3 linked regions of the Caenorhabditis elegans genome follow. The protein of the gene in region 2 purifies or fractionates together with the protein of the main gene of each other region. This does not show direct contact. Each region holds a gene or a part of one and is shown on either strand. Other genes may lie near its edges. The genes, in order: atg-13, lgg-2 and epg-2.

Region 1 (10,972 bases), on a different chromosome or scaffold from region 2:
ACCGTCATTTGTAGATTTTTTTTATTAATTGACAGTCACTTCCAGCAGAAAGAGCCGACAAGTTCATGGACTTAACGTTAAGTTAACAAATGGCTGTGTTTTCTTTTTTACCGATCTGTAATTAAATAGAAAAAAGACACATTGATGTGATTGGAAAACAAAATCTTTTACTTCCAACTATTTTTTCAATGTTTTCCACCAGATTTCATTTTACATCCAAAATATTTATATCATTTAACTCAAAGCGATTTTGAACTCCTCTGCTCTAGCTTCTTTCATTTTGAAAAAATGTTATATCTATGAGTATCAGTGGTATAAAAATAAGAGAAGAAAGACGAGAAGCTCACTCTTTAGCTCATTGGCTTTCAAGTGATAAAGCTGGCCACAAACGATGTGAACCCTCTTTTTCATTTTTTCTTCCCATGGGAATCCGCCACATTCACGTGACATCAACCATTTCCTCATTTTACTTTAAAACTTTCTGGACTTGAAATTTAAAATTTAAAATTGAATCTAATTTGTTAACTTTTCACCATGTTTCCCCTGTCTGGTAACAGAAAAAGTAGACCTTTCAATGATAATTTGGAGTTTTTATATAATTTACTGAAGTTGTTATAACCAAAATCTAAAATTTTCTGACTCCAAAGTTCTCCAAGTCAAAAGACAGTTAGGACGTCAAAAGACTCCAAGTTTTTGAATTAATCTAATCCAAATCACATATTCTATAGCTGCACTTTATTCAATATATTTCCCGTTTGATAGCTTTAAATAAAATGTGCACTTTTGTAATTAAAATTGAATAAAATGAGTCATAACTTGTCTGATCTTTTCTTCTTCATTTTCTTTTCATTCCTCCTCCCACACTCGCATTTTAAATTCCCTTGTCACTGGGAGCGGGGGGCACCGCGAATTTTCAAAACTTTTTTGAAGGGACACTGGTTTTCATTTTTTGGGTTTCGGTTTTGAAAAAGTTGATCTTTGTTTTTTTTTGTAATTTTTTCCAGTTTGCAATTGTTCTGGTTTTGGAAAATTAGTTTTAGTTGCAAGTTTTGCAAAACTTCCGGATTGCTCCAAAGTTGCAAAAATAAGTTTTTACTGTTTCCATAGTTTCTAGACAGTTGAGAATCTGAAAATCAAGATTTCAAATTATAAACCGTGAATTTTATTCGTGGTACAACTTTTTGACCTTCGTATAGAAACAACTTCACAGCTTCGATCTTCATGAGTATTTCAAAAATGCAATTAAGACAACCTGAATATAATAAAAAGCATGAAAATATCTTCTAAACTTTCTATAAACTTCATGCCACCCCCACATTGGTTGACCCAACAATCCCGTCCACACACATCTACACATACATACACAACAATCTTCTATCCTTTGTGGTCGTGCCCTAGTCACCGCCGTCATTTTTCGAGCCGCTGAGCAATTATATTATGTCTATTATGAATGTACTGCTGCTCTTCTCTCGCTTTTTTCTACTCATTCGGACCTTTCTCTCTCTCTCAACTAGAAATGATGATGATGTTCGATGAGCACAAAACTTTCTTTTTTGGGCTCTTTTTGGAGCACTTTCGGTGACTCTCACAAAGGTGTAAACACTGGAAGACTTGAATTTTTTTAGTTTGAGAAAAAATTTGAAGATATTAAAAATTAAGATAGGTCTAATTAGACAAAATTTTTTGTTTCGGAATTTCTGACCAACTTACTTTTTTTGGCCAATAAAGAGATATATTCCTTATGCAGTTTCAAAAACTGATAACTTTAAAATAAGAACCGAGAAATCTAATACCCTAAATATACCTTTAATGAATTTTTAATTTTTGGAAATCATTTTTATTTTAAAAATAAACTTTAGGTATCAACTGTTAATTTATCAATTTACCGGGTATCTAAATAGTACAAATTCAATTCCTCTTATTGAAGTTTTCCGTTGTTTCAAAACTCATTTTCTGGTTCTTCATTTTTGAGAAATGCCATTATTTTTTTGCAAATGTCAAACATCTATTTTCATAAAGACCAAACCAATTTCATCTTACATTTTCGTACTTTAATTGTACCCTTCACCTCCCTCGCTCATTCTTTTTTCTTTGTTCGTTCCCAAAACGCCTTCATTTTTTTACCGACTGCTGCTGCTCCCAGCAATTTCCGGAGTGAACATTCGGAGCACTTTCTCTCCTTTTTTAATGTGCTGCTCCTTTTTCTTGTATAAGTGAGCTTGAAGTCTTCCGTTGCCATGAAATATTGTTCTAACACACTTTTTTTTTGGTTAAAACATGCTATAGCTTGAGTTTGAACATTGGAACCGAAAAATTTCACATCTTAAAAAAGTTACAGTGTCTCTTTTTCGTTTGAGCTCTATATCTCGGACAGCTTCATTTTTTGGAAGTGACATTGTTCTGTAGTACAAATTCGGATAATCACCGTACCTGATAATCTTGCTCCAGAGGCAAAACCATGGTAGATGGGAAAACTCTTTTGTCTTTAGACATTCCACTCGATTGGGGTTCTACAGGGCGCTTTTAAACTGTATGGAGACTTCACTAACCTTTATCTCTCTAAAATGTTCAGATATTCTTCACAAATTTTATTAAGAAGGGAAAATTAAGGAAATATGACAGGCTTTCTTATAAAAGTTGCATGTTGATTCTTGTAAGAATCGGTCAACGTTTAAAAATAGAGAAGTGTAAAAACTCCATTAAAACGCCATTCAACATATACATCTCCCATGGATACATCATTGACCTCTTCTTTCCGACCTCCCGTTTCAAAATGTGACGTTTCCATAGAAGTGTCATCTGCAGAACAACCCCAACCAACTCCTTTCAATCTTTTTCTTCTTCAATATTTCATTTTATTTCAGAACTTCAAAGACATCCGCTCATCATCAATGGCTTCTTCAAGTTCAGCTGCTCTTCGTCCTTTTGGGACGGCTCGATTGACACCTGGAAGACAAACTGGAAGACAGACACAACAACAGATTAGTGCTCCAGAACCAATGATAGGTAAGCATTTTTCGAGGCTTAATTTGATACAATTCACAAAGTGCCGGGCTCGCCCAGAATATAAAAAGCTGACTCAAATTTTCAACAAGCTTATCTCACCAAAAAGTCACTTTTCGAGGAGAACAACTTCAGAAAGTTTTCGAAAAGAGTTGCCTCGATTATTTCCCCACTGGTTCAACTCTACCTTTTACAATATTATTAATATTGGATTTTCAGCTATTGCTCTCTCGGATATGGAGTACCTAATGCGGTCGGCTAGATCAAGCAGAAGCTCAGGAAGGTAAGATTTCACACTTAATTTTTTTCAAGAGTTACTTCAAATCTTGAAATAAATGAAAAAACAAAACAGATTTTTTAAAGTTCTCACAATTGGATAATCTTCAAAATTTCTTCCTCAACGAATTCAAAAATGTAGACCACAAACATTAAATTCTCATCATAAAAACGTATTTTTTTCTCCAATTATATACTATTATTACCTTAGAATTTTTCAAACATCCAACATTTTCTCCGGAAAAGACCAGAGCTCGGCGAGCAATTTTCATGTTTTAAATTGTCGCTACAAACTGAATTGAGAGACGAGAGGCCTCTTATTCCGTTTTTATACGAAAAAAGGAAACTATTTCTTCTATTTTGTTCCTGAATTCTAAAAACAATTTCTGATGAATATCTATAATGTGAGACCAGCTTGTCGGATTCCAAGTTTTTCAGTTGACAGGCCACGTTCTGTACTTGACAGTTTTAGGTATGATTATCATTGTTTACTAAGAAACATAAGAAAAATACAACATGAAATGGAATAGTAGTTTAGCTTAGTTTTGAAAATAAACTGGAAAATACATGAAAAATAACATACAATACAATATGTAGAAAAACAGCAAAATAAATCTATAACTTTCAGATCAGAACGCCAGCCAGGATGCACATGCTGCTGCCACATTGCTGCTGGGGTTACTGTAATTCCACGTGTCGCCCGTTTTTCAATCGAAGGAGGACTCTCAACACACACCCTTATGAATCATTCTGATAGTGAGTTTTTTTGAGCTATGGTTTTGAGTAACTCGATTTAGGTTGTAATTTCAAATGAGCAAGCAAAAATTGGGAAAAAATGTCAAAAAACTAATACAAATATTTCAGATCGGATAGCAGTAAAAATCACATGCAGTGACAACAATATGTACAGAGTGACACCTGTATATGCAACTGTTGAGCCTGGACAAAGTCTTCCACTTCATGTAAGTTTTAACACAAAATTTCAATTTTTGAACATTTTTATTTCAATCCCGATTGAACTAAGGTTTTAGGTTTTCAGGTTTCAGGTTTTAGATTAAAAATTTCTAAACTTTTGGAAAATTAGAAGCTAGATAAATTAGCTTAAATTTAAAATATGGATATCGGAAATATAAAAGTATTTTCTATTGTTCTCTCTGTTATTGCATTTTTGTAGCTTCCTGAAACGTTTTTTTTTACATTTTTGAAGTCTGCTTCTCTTTTAGTCGCGCATGTCTGAAAAAAAAAACAAAAAATTCCAAAATCAGTGAAAATACCAAAGTACCAAAAGAAAGTCAAATTGCCAAAATATGCCAAAAGACCACCACCAAAAAAGTCCAGGTTGCGTGGAGTTTCTAGTCGAAAGTCATCGTTTCAGAAAATAGCAAAATTGAAATCTTCAAAGCCTGTTAAATACAAAAATAGAACACGTATACCATACCCACCCCACAACCCACTTGAACATTTGATTACAGATCGCCCGAATTACCAGTGACCTAATCAAACGTGATCGTCTCTGTGTCAATATTCTCGAAGCAGATGGCAATAAGGAAGCTCGCGAAATTTTCAAAAAGAACGCGAATACACGTGCACCAGCTTCAATCAATATGGCCCTTGAGGCAACAAATGACAATCAGAATCATCATCATCAGGAGTAAAGAAACACAAATATGTACATGCAGACAAACAAAACTACCAACTTTCATTCTTTTTATGCCTTTTTTCTTATTTTCTTTGATAAAAACATAATAAAACAATATGAAATGACATCACAAAAACTGCAAAATCACAAAAAAAATGTCAGAAAATCGCAATAAAACGAACGTTTTATTTGCTCAAATGATCAAAGATATTTTCTTGTTAAACTGCATCATGAATCACTTGCCATTTGAACAAAGGATTGTCACAAAATTAGTTTCCAAATTTTTTATGTCAATTCGTCATTTTTTGAAAATTGTGTTATCTTCGAAACTAGGCCAGAATACTTGATTATTTGAACATTTGTATTGATAAAAATCGATTAGTAAGTTGAATTTTTCAGTTCTTAACTGATTCTTTCCATGAAATTTCATTTTGTTTGAAAACTCTACAGAAACGGTTTTTTGAAATTACATAATTTAAAAAAAAACTACCAACCCCTGTTTCAAGTTGAAATTTTGCTCATTTTAAAGGTTCCTATCGTCAGGACCTGATCACAGGATCCTGTCACGAGCGAAACATTTCAGCTACAGTACCCTCAAGTATTGTAGCTATTTTCTTACATAGCTTATTTTTTGAGATTTGTATAATAAATACACGAGGGCACGGTAGAGAAAAAATTTCGATCGTGCCAGGACCCAAGGTAGCGATTTGCGGTCAAACAAAAAATTAATTTTAAGAGTAATCCCTACTTATTATAAGTTATATATCTCTCGCTAAGATGATTAATATTGAAACACTGGTCTCAACACGATTTGCCTGCGTTCTAGGGGAGCTTCTAATCCTCTATCACCTGACATTAATCACTTGCTCATTCTTCTCTCGTTCTCTGTTTCTCTTTCTTCTTCGTTGAAGTCTCTGTTGAATAATTGTCAAACCCATAACACATTTTATTTTTATATTCCAAAAAAATATTTTTAGAATGAAGATCTTATCGTTGATTCTTGTAATTTTGGTGCTTGTGGTGTCAACAGAATCCGCCGCTTCCAACAATATTTTCTCATCAATCTTTTCTTTTGGCAAGAAAAAACCAACAAGTACTCCAACACCTAGTTATTCAAAAGGTTTTTTTTTAGTTCTTTGTTCAAATGATCTTTGGATTTACATTCCAGCTTCCGCTTCCACGAGCCGGTGTGGAGTACAAGCATCACAATGTTCTGCTTATGAATGTTGTAACTTTGATCAGACATGTCTTCGAAACCGCTGCTTCCCAAGACTATCGGTAAACAAGTTCAAAGATAATTAAAAACTTATTGTATACGTTTTTCAAACTGCACAGAGAAACCCATAAACTTTCAAAAGTTTCAGAACTGTCCAGTTACTCGGGACCAATGTGGAAATGCATGTTGCAAGACTTCTGAGCAATGTCGCAATGGAAAGTGTTCCCGATAATTTATATAACTATACATTTATGAATATTCAAAAAACAATATGTGCACAAAAAATTGTGAAACGAGTGTAAACGTGTGAAAAGTGTACATGCGATGTATACAATATGGGAGATTGTAAATTTTCAATAAAAAAGTCACTCATCGGAGAACGAATTGACGTGTTTCAGGAAATTGTTGAAGTTGGCAGTTTGAGAACTTATTTTTTCGAGCTGAAATTTGATTGAAATTTGAATTTGTTAATTAGTTATAGTTTTTGGTTTAAATGCCATTAGCTATTTATTTCCAAACTCACCTCTGTTTTCAAGTCCATGTTACAAATATCAATATCACCGGATTCTGTCATATCGGGAGCAGTTTTCAGCTGCTTCAGATAGTCTCCCAGCTCATTACCAAGACTTGGCGCACCACCGAAATCTGATAGCTGATTAAACTGAAATGAAATAATTAACGACTCGTTGATTAACTAAGGCTTACATGAACAAATGAATCTTCACTCAGCTCCATTGAATCAAGTGGCAACTCTTCATCTTCATCTTCTTCAAATACAACTTCGTCGATTTTAGCGGCACGGAAGCTCTCAGCAACCTTTTCTATCGTTGGCTCTTTGTCTTCTGGAGTTGATTTTGGAGAATCTAGATTTAATAATAAATATTTGAATTATTTTTATATTCTTACTGAGACAAGTAGAAGAAGAGTTTTTCTTGGTTCCATTTGCTGGATTGTATGCCGACTGTAGTAGATTCACGAATGGGAATGAATGATTTCGTAGATCTGCTAGAGATGGTTTGTGATCTTCTTCATAAGAATTTTGAACATCTGAATGTCGAGAGTCTTCACTTGATGTTGATTGTCCAAGAATAAATCTAGGAGCAGCTTCTCGGGAGGTCTTAAATTTTTTAATTCGTTTGACTTTGCATAAAATTTTTTTGAAAACTTACAGAACTTCCAGCACTTGTAGCAGATTCAACACTTCCACTTGCTTTTCTTTTTTTAGCATCAGCAATTGGAACACATTCTGAGACAGTTCTTGTTTGAATATTTTCATCTACAACTGTCTTTTCCCCGTCATCAATTTCCTCTTCTACATCTTCAACAGGTCTGAAATTTAATAATTATTTAAAATCGGAAATTATTCTATTTAATCCCTTACGTTACTGGAGCAATCTCTGGTTCCTCGAAATGCATTGATGTTCGGTAATGTAGGTCAAGACTGATATTTCCAAATTTTGATACAAGTTCTCCAATTTTTCTAGTTTTCTTTCCTTTTCCCATATCAGATGAAATATCATTTTCAAAAACTCTATACATAATTACAAAAGTCTCCAAGTGCTGCTTTTTCACATACAATCGATGCATTGGAGTCATTCTGGCTGATACAATTGCTGATCGAAGCAATGTGCTCATATCATGATAAAGTTCATTTCTTGAACAATCATCAGTTCCTTCTGATGAGCTAAGAATCCACGCTTCAAGTGGTAATAGTTGTCCACTGGGTGTATAGAGTAGAAATTCGAGAGTAAGAGTTCCGACAGGTGGATAACTTTTGATGTTGGATTTAAGATAAGCTGAGATTTCACCGAGTTCGTCAATTCGCATATTGAACCAGTCGACTGCGTTTTCCGAGTACGGTACACATTTTGATTCAATTTCATCGCCGAGGCGAGACTGAAAATTTATGGAATATTAGGAAATTTTGATTTGTTTTTATTGTTTGGTAACTATTGTATGCGAAATTTTTATTTTTTGAGCCACAAATACTGTACCCGGTCTCGACAAATTTTTTGTTAAATGCGAGAATGTTCGCGCCTTGAAAGAGTACTGTAGTTTCCAACTTTGATCGGTGCTGCGGAATTTATGTCTTTACTTCAAAAGATTTCATTGATTTTTCAGAAATTTCACATGTTTCATTTTAGTTTTTTTTTTCGATAAATTAATAGATTTTCATACGAAAACTATGAAAAATCGATGAATATTTAAGCTCAACGAAATTTTGAAACTACAGTACCCATTAAAGTCTCAGACCTGTTTGAATTTTACTTAATTTTACTAAATTATTTTTTACATACAATGGCGCCAATAAATTCGGATTTTCAATAAAACAAATGAGTTTCGGAGCATTAATACTCTTAATTAAAAAAAAAATTATAAATACCTGAATTATAGATTGAACCATTCGCACCGAGAAGAATTTGAGCCATTTGTTGTACGTGTCGTACTCATTTACCATGTTTAAATAATATATTATTGATCTGAAAAACAAGACGATGGTAGTAGTCACATGAGCGTAAAAGAGACGAGATGAGTGATACAATAAACTGGAGAGGTGGTAGAGAGAAAGTGAGATGTTGAAGAATTTGGTGAAAATAGAATGGTTGAAGAGTGTTTTAAATGGAGTTAGAAGAAAAAATCCTAGTTAATACTTTTGAAAACTGAAATAATCCTGCATTGAGAGCGAGTTTTTGAAATTGCTGCTCTACTGGAGAGTTCAAGGATAAAAGGTGCAAGAACGGCAGTACATATTGAGCAGCTGGCTATTTTAACAATGTTTGATAGCAATTTTTAAAAGTGTAAAGATGCTCAATGTGCACAATTGTCATCGGTTCTTGAATCAATAACTGTGGAGTGCTGGGTGCGCCTGCTTCACGTGATGGCCGAGAACTCGAGGACTAGGATTTTTGGGTGCAATACACAGATGTGGCCTCACTGGGAATGGCTCGGAAAAATTATGTTCACAATTTGTTTTGAAGGTAGTTTATTTTAAAGAATAGGTAAAACTGTGGAAACGAAAAACTGCTAATTTTGAATCCATAATATGAATAAAGTTTGAAATAAATCACTTTATTAATAATATTGTACACTAGTTAATATGTTTGGCACAGATATGGACCGGACTATAGTATATGTTTGACTAAATCACAATTAAGTGTTACGAGTTTTGGCAAGTAAATTAAATCCTCCGGTACCGAGGTTAAAATATCGATTTTTTGTACAAAAAATACATATGAAATCTACCGTATTTCTTCTATTAATATGGCTGCAATACTATTTCTCGATGGTCTTCCCGCTTGCAATACTAATAGGGAGTGCAAGACTATTAGGGAGTGCAATACTAATTTTCAGAACATTTTTCTGACTTTGAGCTTACTAGTTTTTTTTCTGAAAAAGCTCGAATCTTATGTGAAAATTCAGAAAACTTGATTTTAATTGTAACATATAAGTTCAAAAACGTTTAATCTCGTAGAACTGTTGTGAAAAACTGTTGCAAAATAAGCAATAAGTGTTATAAAAATCTTTAAATTACTAAAGAGGGTTTGCACCAAAGAAGTAAACGCAAGACTATTAGGGAGTGTAACACTAATAGGGAGTACCATACTAATTTTCGGAAGGTCTCCGAGGGGAAATACTAATAGTGAGTGCAAGTCTAATAGGGAGGCCATATTAATAGAAGATATACGGTATAATATATTATAATACAGCTATGGTTGTTCAACTATTTGAAAGACTTTTGACAATCCAACAAGACAATGAAGATGACAAGAAAAATATCCAAGACGGTAGTTTCCAGCAGGAATATTATTGAATTCACAAGCCAGAAATTTGCTACCTTCAATTACTTGCTCAAAACAAGTGGCAGCATAGATCCAATTTGTGGCAGTGGTACAGTCGTTGATGCTGGACTGAAATGAATCAATAATTTTATAAAAATAATGGGTGTAGTGTCCAATCAATAAAACCAATACGCGAGTTAACCACAAAATTTTGTGATTTTCGTGCCAAGAATATGTTACCCGGTCTCGGCACGACAAATCTTTGTTGAATACCAAGAGGCGAGCGCCTTTAAAGAGAACTGTAACTTCGAATTTTCGCTGTTGGGGAATTTTCTTCCTTTAATACGTTTTTTAAAATAGTTTTTACACGATTTTTAAAAAAAATTAACAAATATACTGTTATATTTAAAAAAAAAACAATAAAAAATCAATGAAAATTCCGCATCAGCAAAAATTCTGCTCATATCTCTTTGCATTTAACAAATTTGCCGCGTCGAGACCAGATATCATATTTTCGCCACGAAAATTCCAAAATATTTTCTGTCTGACTATTAATAATAATGTATTACCGGAAAAACTCCAATCCAATCACGATAACTTCCATTTTCTTTGTAATATAATTCATTCACTTGGAATCTTCCAACTAATGGAATTGATGTGTACCAAGTGGGTAGATGCTCAAAAATTACTTCCCATTGTGGTTTTGGTGCAGCGGGTGCCTGCAATAACATTGATCAATCGATTAATATATTAATTCATTTACGTACAGTAACTCTAAACATTGCAACTACAGGTAGGTGATCACTTGCCACTGCTTTTTTATTGTTAGTATATGACAATCCAGTAATTCCATCTCCTTTGTACAATATTCTATCAGTCCACGATGGAACGCGTTTTCCATCCTGCTCTGTAGTGCCTACAGTAACCCGATAAGTTGGTTCAAATGTAACCGGTTGTTCGTGAAAGCCAATGAATGCATCACGCTCAACTAATGCTCTTTTCAATTGTTCACGTGTATCTGGAAGCTGTGAGGAATGAGTCCACGTCGTTGGAAATATT
Region 2 (4,478 bases):
ATTTTAAATCATAATTTATCAATTAAAAATACCGTTTAAAAAAATTCTAAATCAATAAGATTTTGTCAGCTTAATTTATTTCATTCGTAATCGATAATTTCATTCAAAATTTCGGAATTATTTCAGACTCACCACAACTCAACACAGAGAAATGTCGGTATGTTTTAAAAATACAATGAATAAGTTATTTATAATTGTTGTATTATTTTAGAAAGACGAAGGAAAACGAAAGAAGGAGTCTGTCGTTGATCTCACCAGATTTCTCGACAAAGAGATTCGCGTCAAGTTCCAAGGAGGACGTGAAGGTTGGTTTTTTTTTTGCACAATGATGTGCACTAGCAATAAGATTCCGTCATTAAACTATTTAAACAATATGAAAGCGTCCAACATACACAAGCTGTACTTCACTCCATAAAAATGTATAAATTTCAGCAAGTGGCGTGCTTCGAGGATTCGATCAGTTGCTCAATATGGTTCTTGATGACTGCCGCGAGTATCTCCGTGATCCACAAAATCCTTCGGTCGTCGGTGATGAGACAAGGTAATTGATAGATTTCCAAAAATCGATTTAAAGCTTGGATTTCAAATTAAATCTAGATTTTCGATTTTATCTTATCTTTTATCTTAAGACAACTGGGTCTTATTGTGGCTCGCGGAACAGCAATTACAGTAGTTAGCCCAGCAGATGGACTCGAGCAAATCGCCAATCCATTCGCAACCCAGGAAGAAGAATAATCGTTGATATCATCATCATCTCTTATTATTATTATATATGTATGTGATCTCCTTGTGAATGAACATTCTCCAGATAAAAACGACGAAAAAGTTGTTATTACATACAAAACATTTGATACATTGAATTTGGAAAAGTAACGATGGAACAAGATGTAATAATTTTGAATTGAATCCGTCTAGGCAGTCAGAAAGTCCATAGCGGTAAATTTCAATGTTCAGGGCAGTAAGGAAAATAGTCCCTATGGGCTTTAGAGACTAGCCAAGTACACAGAATCGTAAACGGTTTAAATTTTGTTGAAAGAGGATCAGTTGTGAAAAGAAGACATGAAGAAATTCAAGAAACGGGCTGGAAAATGCGGAGAAAGAGTTATGAGGGAACACATAAAGACTACACGAAAACGTAAGCGAATTTGGGTTTCTTTTTTTTCGTTTGTAAAACAAATTTCAGCTGGAAGTTTTGAGGTGGGGAATTGCGAGGGGCGAAATTAGCAAAGGCAACTAGAAAAATGGTTGGCGCCTGAGTATGATGGGTTTTCAGGTATTTACATTTAAAAATACAACATTTTACAGTGAGGATTGCATTGGGCAATCAGTGGTGTTGGTGGAAATTTAAAAATTGATTAGAATTGTGATGGAAAACGGCTCTTGATGTGTTATCCAAATGCTGGTTGAGACGTGTAAACCATATACACAAAGCCATCTGGATCACGCTCTTGACTGTACAAATTGGACATGCTCATAGAATTTGACACCATTGAGCGTTCATTGACGAGCAGGAAGAATGCTTGTTGTGGATGAAGTTGGAGGCTGAAAAGCAAACGGATGATTTTGAAAAAACAACTCAGTTGAATAGCTCACCGTCGTCTAACAATTGACATGAGCTCGGCAACGGTTATATGCTCGGGTACTAGGAATTTGCAGCGATCCATAAGTGGTAAACTGCGTTCTCCATCAAATCTTTCGATAATTACCGGAACCTTGTTCGGTTGTTGGCTGCGGATTTCTTCCACATCTTTCTGACGCTCATCTGAAATCGAATAGGTTAAAAAGGTTTTCTTTCGAAAATTTGAAAATAAAAAAGTTGTTCCTCAGTTCTGGATTTCTCTTTTCCACTCGTAAAATTCATATTTCTATTTAAAGATTGGCGTACGTTCAGTTTTGGTTGTTATCTTGAATGGTGGGCAATATTTTGAACTCTAGAATATCAATATTGATCCAAATTTTCCTATAATCCTATTTCCCTTGCACCTGCCCTATTGATCTTTGTTTCTCAGGTCCATCTATCTCTTTCTTTCATACAACGAAGAGCACCCAATTAATACGCAATGTTCCATGGGTGCTGCTCCACTGACATAGTCACTCATTCACACAAGATCAGCTGATTTTCACATGTCTCACTTGCATATTGTCTCTTGTTTCCTCATGCTCTCTCGCTGAAACGCATGACGCGGGGTGTCTGTCCTCTGCGTCTCTGACCTTTTACAATGGACGGGTGAAGGAAAAAAAAGTGGGAATGATTGGGAATGAATTGGTTGGGATGAAAACCAGATGTTTGATGTTAAAGTAAAATTAAAGTGAGACTTGAAGCTCTATTTTTATTTTGATGACAATTGTTTGATTAGTAAATGAATTTTAAAAAACTTACGGAATGGCCTTCTTTCCTTGAACGATGGAACGATTCCGGAAATGTAAGATCCTCCCCGATTTCCGCTCATCGCTGTTTGTGTGTAACTTTGAAGCGTGGCTAGCATAAACGCTTCTTCACTTTTTCGTGCTGAGACCCGATTTTCGATCTGCAAACTTGAAAAATGGTAACTGGTATTTGAAAAGTTGAGAAAACTGATTTTAGAAGAGAAATTAGAGTGTGAGATGCTAAAGGACACTGTATGTTTTTGTGAGAATTTTTTTATCAAGAAGCGAAAAGACAGGTGAAAGGGAATGGGACAGAGGGAAAAATCGAGACAGAGGCAGTAGGCAGCACACACGCTCTTTTGCTGTATGTCTCTTTGTCCTCTGTGTCTCTTCATTGATGCTACTCTCTTTTCTCACACCACAAGATCGACTGAGCGTCGAGGACACATGACCGCGAGACGGAGAGACGATGAGAAGAGAAGAATCATGTGATGAAGGAATAGATGGGGAAAAGAAAGAATAGAGTTAGAGAAGATGAGAGTGTGTATTATGACCCTTCTCCCAGCTAATACAGAAGTTCGAAGCAGTGTCAGACAGATGAAATGATAGCGAAATTTGAAACGATGAGTGGCAACGAATTAAATAAATATGACAGCGAGACTTGTTGGCGACACTAAGAAAGTTATAGGAGAAAACGTTTTAATTGAATACTTCCTAGAAAACTTCTCAACTAATGTTCTAGTGTGAAAATGCTTGGTTTTATGAATGAAAATTTCTAATATTAAAATGGGCCGTTTAAATTAACGGAAAACTAAAGATTTTATCTATACCAGCCAACTCTTTTATATCGGTCTACGTAAAAAAAGTGCTTGTACTTTGAAAATAGTGGCAGGGAGAGATAAAGGGCAGGGGAACCAGATGATCTCTAGAACTTCCAGTCTGAATCTACTACTCCCAATCAGAACAACTGACGTTTTTTTCTGCAAACTTTTTTCTCGGAACTTTAGATCTTTGACGCGATTTTCGAAAAAGGGAGAAGTGATGAAATATGATCAAGATTTCACAGCAAAAATTGGCAATCTGCGATATTTTTTTGACATTTTAAGGGTTTCCTTAGATTTTCCGTTGTTGAAAATGCGGGTATCTAAATAATTTCGAAAGAAGTTTTGAGATGAGGACGAAACTATGGAAAGAGCAAAACAATAAGTGATGAGGGGAAAGAAAGAAAAGTGAAAAATCGATGTACGAGTAAACAGACTCTCATGACTAGTGAACTCAATTATGTTTACGTCTCAAAATCGATATGTTACTGCGCACGCCGTGTGCATTTGTCTGCGTCTCGTTTATTTTCTTTTCTTTAATAGCATTTTCCGCGTACGAACTTCAAAGATGAAGAAATTTCTTGTGAAATCGAGTGGAATGTCGATATTTATATGGTTAATATTTAGATAAAAGATTATTCAGTTTTTTAAATTAGGTTTTTCGGATATAACTTGAAAAAAAAGAAGGAAAACATGCCAAAATCGAAAAAAAATGCATTTGGTGTTCAAACCATTAATCAGTACTACCGTAACTCAAAGGCGCATTAACGTTTTTTTACTCTGGTCTCGAAGCGAAAGGTGGAATCATGCTCAAAATTAATTTGCAGATCTTTTTTCTTGTTTTCGCTTCAAATGCATGAATAAGTTCTGGAAAATTTGTTTTTTTGCAGATAGTTTTAAATAATGTGATGTCAGTTCGAAGACGAACTCATTCCGATGATTTCTCCTATCTTTTGGAAAAAACCCGAAGACCTTCCAAATTAAATGGTACATTTTTGATTATTTTCCAAATAAAAACATATAATTTTCAGTAGTTCAAGAAGATCCGAAATCGGCCCCACCACAAGGTTATTCACTAACCACAGTCATCATTATCTCAGTTTTAGTATCACTAATCTGCCAACATTTTGTACCATATGCAGTCTCTACGCTGCACACTGTAATAAAAAGTGAGTCGCAAAAATAAATATTAATATTTTCGCTTATTTCTTGAAATAAAAAATCAGCATTCAGATTCTCCAAAACAAAAGTCATCACCACCACCTTCTAATCGTCTCAACATTGGGTTTA
Region 3 (10,972 bases), on a different chromosome or scaffold from region 2:
CAATTCTGTCACTCGCACCATCTCCGCGCCAATTGCAAATACCGGACCAGGTGTCATTACTCGTGCGATGGCTGCTCGTGTCGCTGAAAATGTCACCAAAACAAGTGTTCGTCGAAGTGTTATGCCTCTCAAAGTGGCTCAGAAAACGCCGGTTGCCGCAGTAAAATCGGATGCTGCTACTGCAGGAGGTGACAGATCCCGTGACCGTACACGCCGTACCAATACAACGGCTTCTCGTCGAAGTGTTTTCCCCAATAAGCCTGCTGCTGCTGCAGCAAACACCACTCCAATTGCTCCACCGCGGCGTTCGGCATCGGCGAACAAGGCAACAGCGCCGACGTCGGTGAGCAAATTGACGCCGAAGATTCGTCCGATTGCAACAGCCAATCGCTCATCGATTCTTCGAATGAATGTTGTGAAGCCAACTGTTCCGGCTCCGGCTCCTGCTGATGCTCAACAGAATAAAGCGGCTTCACGTCCTGCTGTTCCAGCTGGTGGAGCAGCTCGTAACCGGCAGCCGCTTCGAGTCAACCCGGGAACTCCGAGCACAACGATCAAGAAACCACCAGTGGTAATTTAAAAAATTTGCCTAATTGTTTAATAAATCGAATTTCCAGGCTTCATCCGTACAACGCCAGCCGCCGACTCGAGCTCGGTCAGTGGACCGTTCTGGCCAACCTCCAATTTCGGCTTCCACTCCAGGGGTACATTTGTGCAACGTTTTTTTTTCTATATATATATTTTTTGAATTTACAGAAAGCCTCCCGTGCTGACCTTTTCAACAGACTTGCCACACCAAAGGTTACTGCTACGCCAACGAGGACTTCACACGAGGGCCCAGCGTCGAGTATCCGAAAATCTGCTGTGCGCCCTGTGCCATCATATGTGTACAGCTCCTACAAAGGGTATGAGAAGAAACGATGGATTTATTGAACTCAAAATTCTTCAAAAAAGGAAAAATTGATTATTTAAACAGAAAAAATTGTAATAACAAATTGAGAACAATTTAGGCGGGCATGAAAGACAAAAACAATTTGCAATGTACAGTAAAGTGTGCAATTTAGAAACAAAAACGAACAAGAAATTAATCAAAATTGTTATTCTTCGTCGACCATCTCCCATTCAGCCTTCTCTTCCGATTCCGTTGATGCTTTCGGCTCCTCGTCGAGTTCTTCAACTCCCAAATTATCCACCAACTTCTTATGAGCATCATTCAACTGAACAATCTCTGCATCGTGAATTCTCTTCGTTTCGATTGCAAGTTCTGTGTGCTCGCGAATGGTTTCCTGGAGTTTGTCAATTGTGGTACGATCCGAGATTCCTTGAGATGTCAGAACGCGACAATGATTGCCAAGAACATTGTATTGCTGTTTCATTGATACCATTGCAGCTTGGAATTCGTTAATCTCGGCATTTTTCTCATCTGTTTCCTTCTTAAACTGGGCTTGAGTAACCTCATTGATCTTTTTTAGCTGCTCGATTTCAATAGTGGCGTAATGGAGACGTTGTTGGATTCCGGATTTCGCATCTTCCAAGAGTGCTACTTCAAGTTTGTGATGTTCAGTCAAATTTCCAATTTCTTTCTGAGCATTAGCTCGAGACACTCTGAGTGCAATACATTCTTCAGAAACGAGAGTCATTTTGCTTTCTAAAGCCAAATGTGCGGTTCTGAGATCATCTTCGGAGCTCAAAAGCAAACTGCACTGGTCTCTCAAGCTTTGATGAGCAGCATTGGATTGCTCTAGTTCGTTTCGTACCGTCAAAATCTCATTGGCGTGCTTCTTCTTCCCAGATTCCAGAGCCATTTGTCCTTTGATCAACTCCTGATTAATTGCCAACATATGATTGTACTTCATATTATCAATTTGCTTGGCGTACTGTTGATGCACAGCAACCATTTTTGCATCCATCTCACTCTGCATCTGGCCTTTTTCGATGTCCCGCTCCTGAATTGTTGTGCTCAATTGTTCGCGGAGACATTCACATGTGCGATTGACATCTTCTTTCTCCTCCTTCAAAATTTTGAAGTCCTCCTTCAGATCGTAATTCTCCATTCTGAGCTCCATCAGTTCGGTTTCAGACTCACGGAGCAACTCAATCGTGTCACTGTGCTCGCTGGAAAACGCAGCAGCTTTATCACTGCCAAGTTTGAGTTGTTCTTCAAGATGAGCAATGACTGCTTCATCCTGTTCGTGTTCGTCCTTTCTGAACTGTAAGCATTCACCGAGTCTTGCAATTTCATCTTCCAACTTATCGCGAAGATCTTTGTTGAAACTGGTCACCGCTTCTGTAACTTCAGCTTTTTCCTTCATTGCCAAACGAGTAGAGCCAAGTTCCAGGCGAACATCGGACAACTCGTTGAGCAAAGCTCTAATTCGGTCAGTCAATTGCAATCGTTCAGAGTCAAAGTAGTCATTTTGACTCTTCAACTTTGTAATTTCAACTTCAAATTCATTCTGCTTGACCTTCCAGTTTTCCTTCATTTGATGGATCTGCTTCAAGGTGTCTTCTCTTCCATACATCAGATCATTCAATGCAGATGTGAACTCCTTTGTCTGCAATTCCAGTTGAAGCGAAATCTCGTCTTTCCGCTCAACAATATCTTTCATGGCAATATCTTTTTCACAAACTTCACGTTCCAGCGTCTCAATGCGGCTCTCGTGCTCTTCGTTTTCCGTTTGGGTTTTCTCGAGCTCCTCGTTACAGTTATCCAATGCAAACTGGGCACATTGCCGAATCGATTCCAACTCGTGACAATCTTTTTGAAGTTTTGTATTCTCATCTGAGATCCGCGTAAGAGCTTCTTGAAATTTTTTCGAGTCGCTCAACCAGATCTTTCTGAGCTCCTCTTTCATCTCTTTCAATTCCAAGTTTTCGGCCACAAGATCTCGGTTCAAAATTTTGAGATTGTTTTCTTCGGAGGTCGTTTCTTGAGCGGACGATGCTTTTTCTTCGGCTTCGTCAAGCATGATCTCCAATAATGTGGAGTAGGTCTTGGCTTCCACGTTTTCCTGAAAAATAATAGGTTTATAGCTTGAAAAATTGCAATTTACTAATTAATTAAGTTCCATTAATTCTATTATTAGTTATATTAAGTTAATTAATTTCATTAATTGAATTGATTTTCTCAATTCTCTAAATAGTGAATTGAATAAGTTGCTCACCTTTCTGAGAAGCACAACTTCGTCCTTCAACAACTGGTGTTCTTCTTTTTCCTCAGCCAGCATTTTGTCCAAGTTTTGAAGTGAGTCTTCAGCCAATTCGATCTAAAATATAAACACTTGTTCATGGCACATTCAACTATTTTCAAAACTCCAGAATTCATTGAAAACACGTGGTGTCAGAGTGTCTCATTTCGGCTTGATCTACATAAATCTACAAAAAAATGCGGGAGAAGAGACACAGAGTTCTCAACTGATTTCGCATGGTTAAGAACATATTTTTGTGCAAAAAATTCCCGCGTTTTTTGTAGATCAAACCGTGATGAGACAGACTCTGGCACCACGTGTGAAAATGGATTTTTTGTGTCTCAACAGAATCTAGAACAGCTCAAATACTTACCGGCTCTTGATCCTCTGCTGACGATGAAAAAACTGTGACAGTTCTGTTGGCACTCATTCTTTTGAAAGCTGTTGAAATTGAGATCTGCAAAAAATATCGATTATTGAGAGATGTGTTACACACACAAAAATTAATAGTGAGACGAATGACAAGGTCACCATAAAAAATATTCGAAGAAGGAGAAAGAAAGCTTGCGAGGCTGTGAGAGGAAAACGGCGATCAGGTAGAATATATAATTCAGTTGTTAGGCATTGTGTGGTAGTAGCTAATGACTGAGAATTGAATGAAGAACCCGAGAAGAGAGGAATGAATAATATGAAAGAGAGTGAAAAAGAGAGAGAGAGAGAGAGACGAGAGATATGGGTGGTCTCGGGGAGTGAAAGAGGGAGAAATGGCAACGGTTTGGATAGCTCGACGAGAGCAAAAGAGACAGCCTCTGCATAATGCTCTGCGCTCTCTTGCTCTCTGCATATTGGCAGCGTCTAGCCACCGAGAGATGGGCCACGGTAAAAAGCGAGAGAGAGAGAATGGTCCGACTGATGTAATGTACAGGCCAAGGTTACAATGTGGATAGTTGTGGAGGACTGCGCGTTTGGTTAGATGCGCCACTAGGGCGGGGCTGCTCTGTGTTTGCTCTCTGGAAATAGCGTTGTGTGAGCAGAAGAGGGAGATTTGGGAAAGTCGGGGTCACGTTAAGGGTCAGAAGATGATGTTAAGATTGGGGAAGGGGTGAACAGGTGAAGTGGAAATAGTATTGAATGACTTTTTGGTGGTCTTTGATGTCGAGAAAACAATGGATATATATGACAATCTGGAAGATTTAGAGCATTACATTACAGAAATTCAAATTTTAAAGGTGGTGTAGTCGAATTTTTTTATTGTCTTATTAGACTCGATATTCTCTCAAAACACCGAGTTTCACAATGAAACTTCTTGAAAACTTTTCAGAAAAAAGTTATGACGGCTCTAAAAATGGCCTAAAATTAGTTAAAATCGGAAATTTGACCGACTTGTCAATGTCGCAGTGGCTGGAAATAATTTTTTTTGATATTACCGCCAAATTTTGAGTATACAAGTCGATTACCTCGCGTTTTAAACGAGTATTTAAAAATCGATGGACGGCGAGTTTTGGTTAAAAAAATTAAAAATCAAAGATTTTTTAATACCTTAATCAAGTTTAAAACGTAAGATAATTAACTTGTATACTCAAAATTTGGCGGTGATTTCAAAAAAAAATTGTTTCCAGCTGCTGCGACATTGATAAGTTGGTCAAATTTCCGATTTTAACTAATTTTAGGCCATTTTTTGAGCCGTCATAACTTTTTTCTGAAAAGTTTTCAAGAAGTTTCATTATGAAATTCGGTGTTTTCAGACAATTATGAGCCTGATAAAGCAATAAAAAAAATTCGACTACACCACCCTTAAAAGTGGGAAGTTAGGAAAAGTTATAGGATTTCGAGCTAATAAGGAATGTAATCAGTAGTTTTGTAGGGCAAAATTAGGTGCCTACAAGGCAGGCATAATATGCCTCGAAGATGCCTATCGATAGGCGATGAAACATTTATCTGACTACATGAAAACCTAGAATTGTAAAATTATTTTTGTTGTCTTAAAATGATAAAAATATAGTCTAAAATGACTGGCTGGAGTAGATAAGATTCTTCGATTTTTTTCATAGAAAGTTTTTTAAAAATCTATAGAGATGTAATGATAAAATTCAATTTTTCATCAAGTTTTGTTACTAATGACGGAAGAAAAATATCAGAAAACAACATCTTTTCTAAAAAAAAATGGCTAAAACTTGAGCCATTTTTGCAAAAAATGCTATTTTTCTGAAAATCGAAAACGAAAACACAATTCCGACAAATTTCCGGTTCGCCGATTTCCCGAAAATTTTCGTTTTCGGCAAGTTGTCGATATGACGGCAATGTGCCGATTTTCCAGAAATTTTCATTCCGGCAATTTTTCGATTGGCATTCGATTGGCACCTAGTAGGCATTTTGTGCCTACATGAAAACCTAGAGTTGTGAAAAGATTTTTTCGACAAACCGGCAAATTGCCTAATTTGACGACAAACCAATTGCCACCCACCCCTGATCTGGTACAAAAAATAATTTCGAATAAAAAGCATACATTTTTGAACTTTTAAGATTGGCAATGCTAATTGTAAAAAATTTGGAAAAAAAATACCAAAATATTCTAAACAATTCTTTTTTCAAATTTACTAATTACTAATTAAAAATTTTCCAGAATGCCATCTGCCGGAGGTCTTCACGGAATTCGTGCTCCATCAAAGGATCGTTCGACTCAGAAGCCACCAGCAGCAGCTTCTACTCCACAATCGAAGCAGTAAACGAATGTACATATGATCGTTGTCGTATTCCAATGGGACCAGCTTCATCTTCACCGCGAAAATTAATTTTAAAAAAAATATTTATGATGATTCTCATTGATTTTTTTGTCTCATCCCACCCCCTTATACCGTATTTTTTCTCTTCTTCATATCCATAGTTTTTGTTGAGCTATCTTTTCCCGTTCACCTTTTCGCGCGCGCGCACTGATCTACTAGTGTTCATTATTTCTGACTAATTCTGTATAATAGACCGGCCCCCACACACACATGTTTACAAAAAAAACCGGAAGCCCACACACACACACACAGATTTATTCTTATTATTATTATACCTTTTCTTTATCATTCAATCCAGTGAAATTCACATCCTTATTGTTGTGTCTCCTCCACCCGCCCGCCCGCCCGCCCGCCCGCAATGAACATTTCTTGTAGATTTCCCTCTTTTTGTCTGAATTTTGCGAAAGGTTTCTTCTGAGCCAAGTTTGTTATTTGAATTGAAATCATCGTTTATCTTGAAATTTTAGGGAAAAAAGAGAAAAAAAAAGCGAAAAGAAATTAGGAAAAATATTCGGCGGTGAGAATCAGAGGGGTTTTTGGAGGGGGACTACAAATTTTTGAATTTTTTAAAATTCACAAAACAAAAAAATAAGAAGGAAATGAAATTTTTTGATTGGGGGGGGGAATAAAAGGGGGAAATTGTACAATTGTACATGTTTTTGAAACAATAAAAAACTAATTTGCGATCAGTACGACTATAGAAGTTGGTACACACCAGAGGTGGGCGGATATTTTTTTCGGATATTTTCTAATAATGAATTTATCAATAAGTATTGATGTAGTTATTGTGGAAGAAATGTATCCGAACAAAAGAGTAACTATTAAGCAACATTTTAATATGATAAAACCTAGAAAAATTCTACAAATTTTCTGTATAAACGATATGCAAGTCCATTATCCGATATCCGTAAAATCCGATGTTGCTCGGCTAATAAGTTTTAAGGTCTCGGTAAGGAAAACTTGTTGAATTTTTCTAGGTTTTATCATATTAAAATGTTGCTTAATAGTTACTCTTTGGTTTGGATACATTTCTTCCAGAATAACTACATCAATACTTATTGATAAATTCATTATTAGAAAATATCCGAAAAAATATCCGCCCACCTCTGGTACACACATTTGTAATTACATTCAATTTGTGCATTTATTTACATTTTATCAGTTATTCTGCTGCTGCTCTGCTTCTTCCTCCTCCTCTCCAACCAGCTCCCACGAGTTCTCGGCGGTTGTCTCGTCTTTCAGTTTTGGCATATCACGGTACTCTTCATCTTCTTCAGAATCAGAAGAATCCGATGAGCAGTCCGAATCACTCGAGGAGTCACTGGAACAATCCGAATCATCGGATGATTCCAACACCTCGACGCCCAGATTCTTCTTGAGCTCCTCGTTGACTTCCTTCAGTTGATCTACCTGATCGTTCCAGCGTAGACGATCGAACTCTTGAGCCTCGGATTGTTCTTTGGCATCTTCGGTGAGCCGGGCGATCGAACGACGTGCCTCGGCGAGAAGATTTTTGTTGATAGATGAGGTCTGGAAGAGAGAAGAAAATTAGAGATTTTGAAGCAATCGTTGCGGTTTGATCTACAAAAAATGCGGGAATTTTTCTCCCAGTAAAATGTGACGTCATCAAACACTTAGCCACACGCTCTCCTCAAGGCCGAATAATTATTAGAGCGCGCTTGCTGCGCTTGGCGTTTCTGCATCCGTGGCATTTTGACTTTCCACTGAAAAAAGCAGATATTTCAGATTTATCGAATTTTTAGCTTTTAAAATTTTTTTTTCTGCATTTTACGAACAAACCTTTTGTTAAACAGTGAAAATCGAATTTAAAATGATACTTTTGAACTTTTTTCGTCCACTGGTTGTGAAATGGTTTGAATTTGAAGAAATCAACGGGATTTTTCTTATTTTCTAAATATATTTCTATTAAAAATCGGTTTTAAACCATTTTTTGACCCTAATGTTAAGTCACAAATGTATTAAAACCGATTTTTAATAGAAAAATATTTAGAAAATAAGAAAAATCCCGTTGATTTCTTCAAATTCAAACCATTTCACAACCAGTGGACGAAAAAAGTTCATTTTAGTCATTTTAAATTCGATTTTAACTGTTTAACAAAAGGTTTGTTCGAAAAATGCAGAAAAAAATTTTTAAAGATAAAAATTCGATAAATCTGAAATATCTGCTTTTTTCAGTGGAAAGTCAAAATACCGCGGATGCAGAAATGCGAAGCGCGCTCTAATAATTATTCGGCTTTAACGAGAGCGTGAGCCATGCGAAATCAGTTGAAAAGTCTGCGTCTCTTCTCCCGCATTTCTCGAAGATCAAACCACGCTGTCAGAGTGTCCCATTTCGGTTTGATCTACGTAGATCTACAAAAAATGCGGGAGTTGAGACGCAGACTTCTCAACTGACACATGGTTAAGAACGTGCTGACGTCACTTTTTTTTGGGAAACAATTCCCACATTTTTTGTAGATCAATCCGTAATGGGACAGCTTGGCACCACGTGTGTGTGTGTTCAAAAAGCAAAAAAAAAAGCACTTACCATTGTCAAATTTTTGAGCTTCTCCTCAAGATCTCTAACCGTTGAGTGTCGTTCTTCGAGGATTTGCTCCCGCTCCATCGCCATGAGCGCTTTCACATTTGTCATTTCCATGTTCGAGAACTCGACTGTCTTCCGCAAGTTGTCTGCCTCCAGCATCTTCTGATGCGCCTTCTTCTCCAATTCGTCGTTGGTTTTGACGAGATCTCCGAACTTTGTGAACAGTATCTCGGCCTTTCCTTTGTACAAATCAACATCTTTTCTGAGCCTGTCACGATCCATTTGAAGGCTTGATACACTGTTCTGGTACAGTTCGCACTCGCTTCTGTACTGGGCAAGCACGTTCTCGACCTTCTCCTCGAGACCTTCGTTTTGCTCCTCAAGATCTGTGATCTTCTGTTTCAATTCGATTCGGACGGAAGTTTCATTCTTCCATGCATTCACATCCTTCTTCAAGTCACTGAGCCACTCGACTTTTTCCATACGTTGAAGCTCACAGAGACTATTAAGCTTTAAAATCTCATCTTTCTTGGCAGCAAGCTCTTCACGGCGTTGCTCGGAGAGCCGTCTAATCGACGCGGTAAGCCAGGTATTCTTTCTCTGCATGGTTCTCAACTTTTTTCCTTCAGTCTTCCGTTTGCCGATCAACTCGTAGATCTCCTCTTCCAGCTCAGCACACTCGACATCCCACTCCTTCACTGCGTTCGCCTGGACTGATTTGGTATCACTCAATTGGACATTGAGATCATCAATCTCGGCCAGGAGTCGAGTAATCTGTCGTTGCGCCGCTGCTTGTTGCGTTGCCAACAGGCCCTCGAGCTCGTCGATTTTGCGGCGACATTCACGAGATTCCTCGTCGAAAATCTCCCGCTTGTCCATCGTTTCCTTGGTTGATTGGAACAACATTTTCTGCAATCCACCAATTTCATCACGAAGTTTGACACATTCAGCATTCCATTTCTCCTCGACGCGCTCCATGGCATGACAGAACTTGGCCTTCTCATTCGAGAATGTCATCGTTTGCTGGGCGTGTTTCTCGGTGATTTCGCCGATCTGTTGCTTGTAGGCGTCACGGAGCTCCTCCAGCTCTGTCATCTCCTTATTGAGGTTGGCAATTTGGTTCTCGAAGTTGGCACAGTCTAAGAGAAAGCTCTGTTGCTCGGCGATCAAGAAGCCCTTGTGGAAGTTGAGCTCTTCTTCCATCTTGCACTTCTCGACTCCTCTTCTTTCGAGATCAACGCGGAGAGCCGAATTGGCGTCTTCAATTTCCTCAATAGCTTCAAGAGCATCTTTGAGTTTTCTGTTCAATTCCTGAATCTTCATCTCATTCTCCTGGAACATTTTCTGGTCGGCACGAATTCCACTTGGTTTCGATGAAGATTTGAGTCGTTCAAAGTCGGCGGTGATGTTCTCAAGACGTTCGTTCCACATCTTCTCAGAGTTCTTCGTATGGTTCAAGATATCCTCCTTCTGAGCCTCTAGCTTAACATTCTCTCTTCTGAGCTGAGTTTCAGCCTCTTTGAAGTGCTCGGTCAACTTGGCCTTCTCAGTTTCCCACTTACGACACTGATCGTTCAGCTCGTCAAGCATCAACTTCATGTTGTCGGTATAACTGTTTGAGGCGTAGTCGGCCGGCTTATTGTAGAGGCTCTCCATTTTCTCAATTTCCTCGTGCAACTCATCGACGTCCTTCACCAACTGATTCCGTTCGCGAAGCATCTTCCCGAGCTGATCACGAGTTGTAGCCAACGTCGCCATCAATTCCTTATTCGTAGATTCCATGACTCGAATCTCGTTCTCAGCACTGGCGAGCTTCTTCTCGAGCTCCTCAACTCCCGGATGCGTCTCATTGCGAACTCGTTCTAGCTCGTGCTCACAGTCAGTGCGAAGAGCCAACGTCAGTCGAAGACTCTTATTCTCATCCTGAAGCTCGGTCACTCGACGCTCAAGTGAGCTGCTAGTCTGCTGATAGGTGGGAAGTTCCTGCTGCTGAGACATTTTGGAGATCTGCGGATAGGATGATGCTCTTCAACTGCCAAGGAGACGGGGCAGTGTAAAGAGTGTGAAGCGTTGAGTTTTCTACCTGAAATAGGGGAAGTTCGTAAATGATGGAAGCTTGGGAAAAAGGAAAAAAGGAAAAAAGAAAAAAAAAGTTGAGAAGAAAAGAGAAATAGGCAAGTAAGGGGCAAGAAGAAGCATAAGAGTCACGTGCGTACGCACACGAATACGCAGACACCCAAATAGAAATCGATAGAGAAGTGTGGCGGGGGTCCACGGAAGGTGTCCTGGTCTCTTTCCGTCTCTTTATTCTCTCTATTCTCTCGCTACACCCTTCGAACGTTCTCTGCTGTGCACACTATAGATTGGAGAACACTCGTCGGAAAATACTATAGATTTCTATCGTCCGGGGGACCGAGATGGAATCTGTAGAATTGTTGGAAAAGTGAGCAGGAAAC

The links.
Region 1: the proteins of lgg-2 (region 2) and atg-13 purify together in Caenorhabditis elegans (affinity purification with western blotting, with the first as the bait; one study listed by BioGRID). This does not show direct contact.
Region 3: the proteins of lgg-2 (region 2) and epg-2 purify together in Caenorhabditis elegans (affinity purification with western blotting, with the first as the bait; one study listed by BioGRID). This does not show direct contact.

Annotation. Positions count from the first base shown.
Region 1 is NC_003281.10:8,149,577-8,160,548, forward strand, and holds atg-13 (Autophagy-related protein 13 homolog), read right to left. Parts: upstream 8,615-10,972; 5' UTR 8,593-8,614; coding exon 8,518-8,592; intron 8,031-8,517; coding exon 7,516-8,030; intron 7,464-7,515; coding exon 7,304-7,463; intron 7,252-7,303; coding exon 7,041-7,251; intron 6,998-7,040; coding exon 6,840-6,997; intron 6,796-6,839; coding exon 6,658-6,795; intron 6,575-6,657; coding exon 6,500-6,574; 3' UTR 6,371-6,499; downstream 1-6,370. Other genes in the region: D2007.2 (Major sperm protein), read left to right, coding at 2,865-3,006, 3,223-3,286, 3,908-4,035, 4,144-4,241, 4,752-4,934; D2007.1 (uncharacterized protein), read left to right, coding at 5,897-6,038, 6,087-6,196, 6,283-6,366; inpp-5K (Inositol polyphosphate 5-phosphatase), read right to left, coding at 9,842-10,042, 10,483-10,632, 10,681-10,931. UniProt on the Caenorhabditis elegans protein: Component of the unc-51/atg-13 complex required for autophagosome formation. Required for the degradation of germ cell specific P-granule components such as sepa-1 by autophagy in somatic cells.
Region 2 is NC_003282.8:10,933,376-10,937,853, forward strand, and holds lgg-2 (Protein lgg-2), read right to left. Parts: upstream 2,529-4,478; 5' UTR 2,487-2,528; coding exon 2,381-2,486; intron 1,763-2,380; coding exon 1,594-1,762; intron 1,543-1,593; coding exon 1,389-1,542; 3' UTR 821-1,388; downstream 1-820. Other genes in the region: lsm-7 (U6 snRNA-associated Sm-like protein LSm7), read left to right, coding at 152-157, 212-305, 433-541, 630-735; Protein adenylyltransferase fic-1, read left to right, coding at 4,097-4,175, 4,220-4,357, 4,422-4,478. UniProt on the Caenorhabditis elegans protein: Ubiquitin-like modifier involved in the formation of autophagosomal vacuoles (autophagosomes). When lipidated mediates tethering between adjacent membranes and stimulates membrane fusion. Less effective at promoting membrane fusion than lgg-1.
Region 3 is NC_003279.8:2,292,759-2,303,730, reverse strand, and holds epg-2 (Ectopic P granules protein 2), read right to left. Parts: upstream 3,646-10,972; 5' UTR 3,619-3,645; coding exon 3,562-3,618; intron 3,267-3,561; coding exon 3,165-3,266; intron 3,012-3,164; coding exon 1,098-3,011; 3' UTR 934-1,097; downstream 1-933. Other genes in the region: tpxl-1 (TPX2 domain-containing protein), read left to right, coding at 1-571, 618-704, 757-905, 5,812-5,914; Y39G10AR.11 (TPR_MLP1_2 domain-containing protein), read right to left, coding at 7,130-7,501, 8,520-10,514. UniProt on the Caenorhabditis elegans protein: Involved in autophagy. Thought to act as an adapter protein that brings PGL granules to autophagic structures containing lgg-1.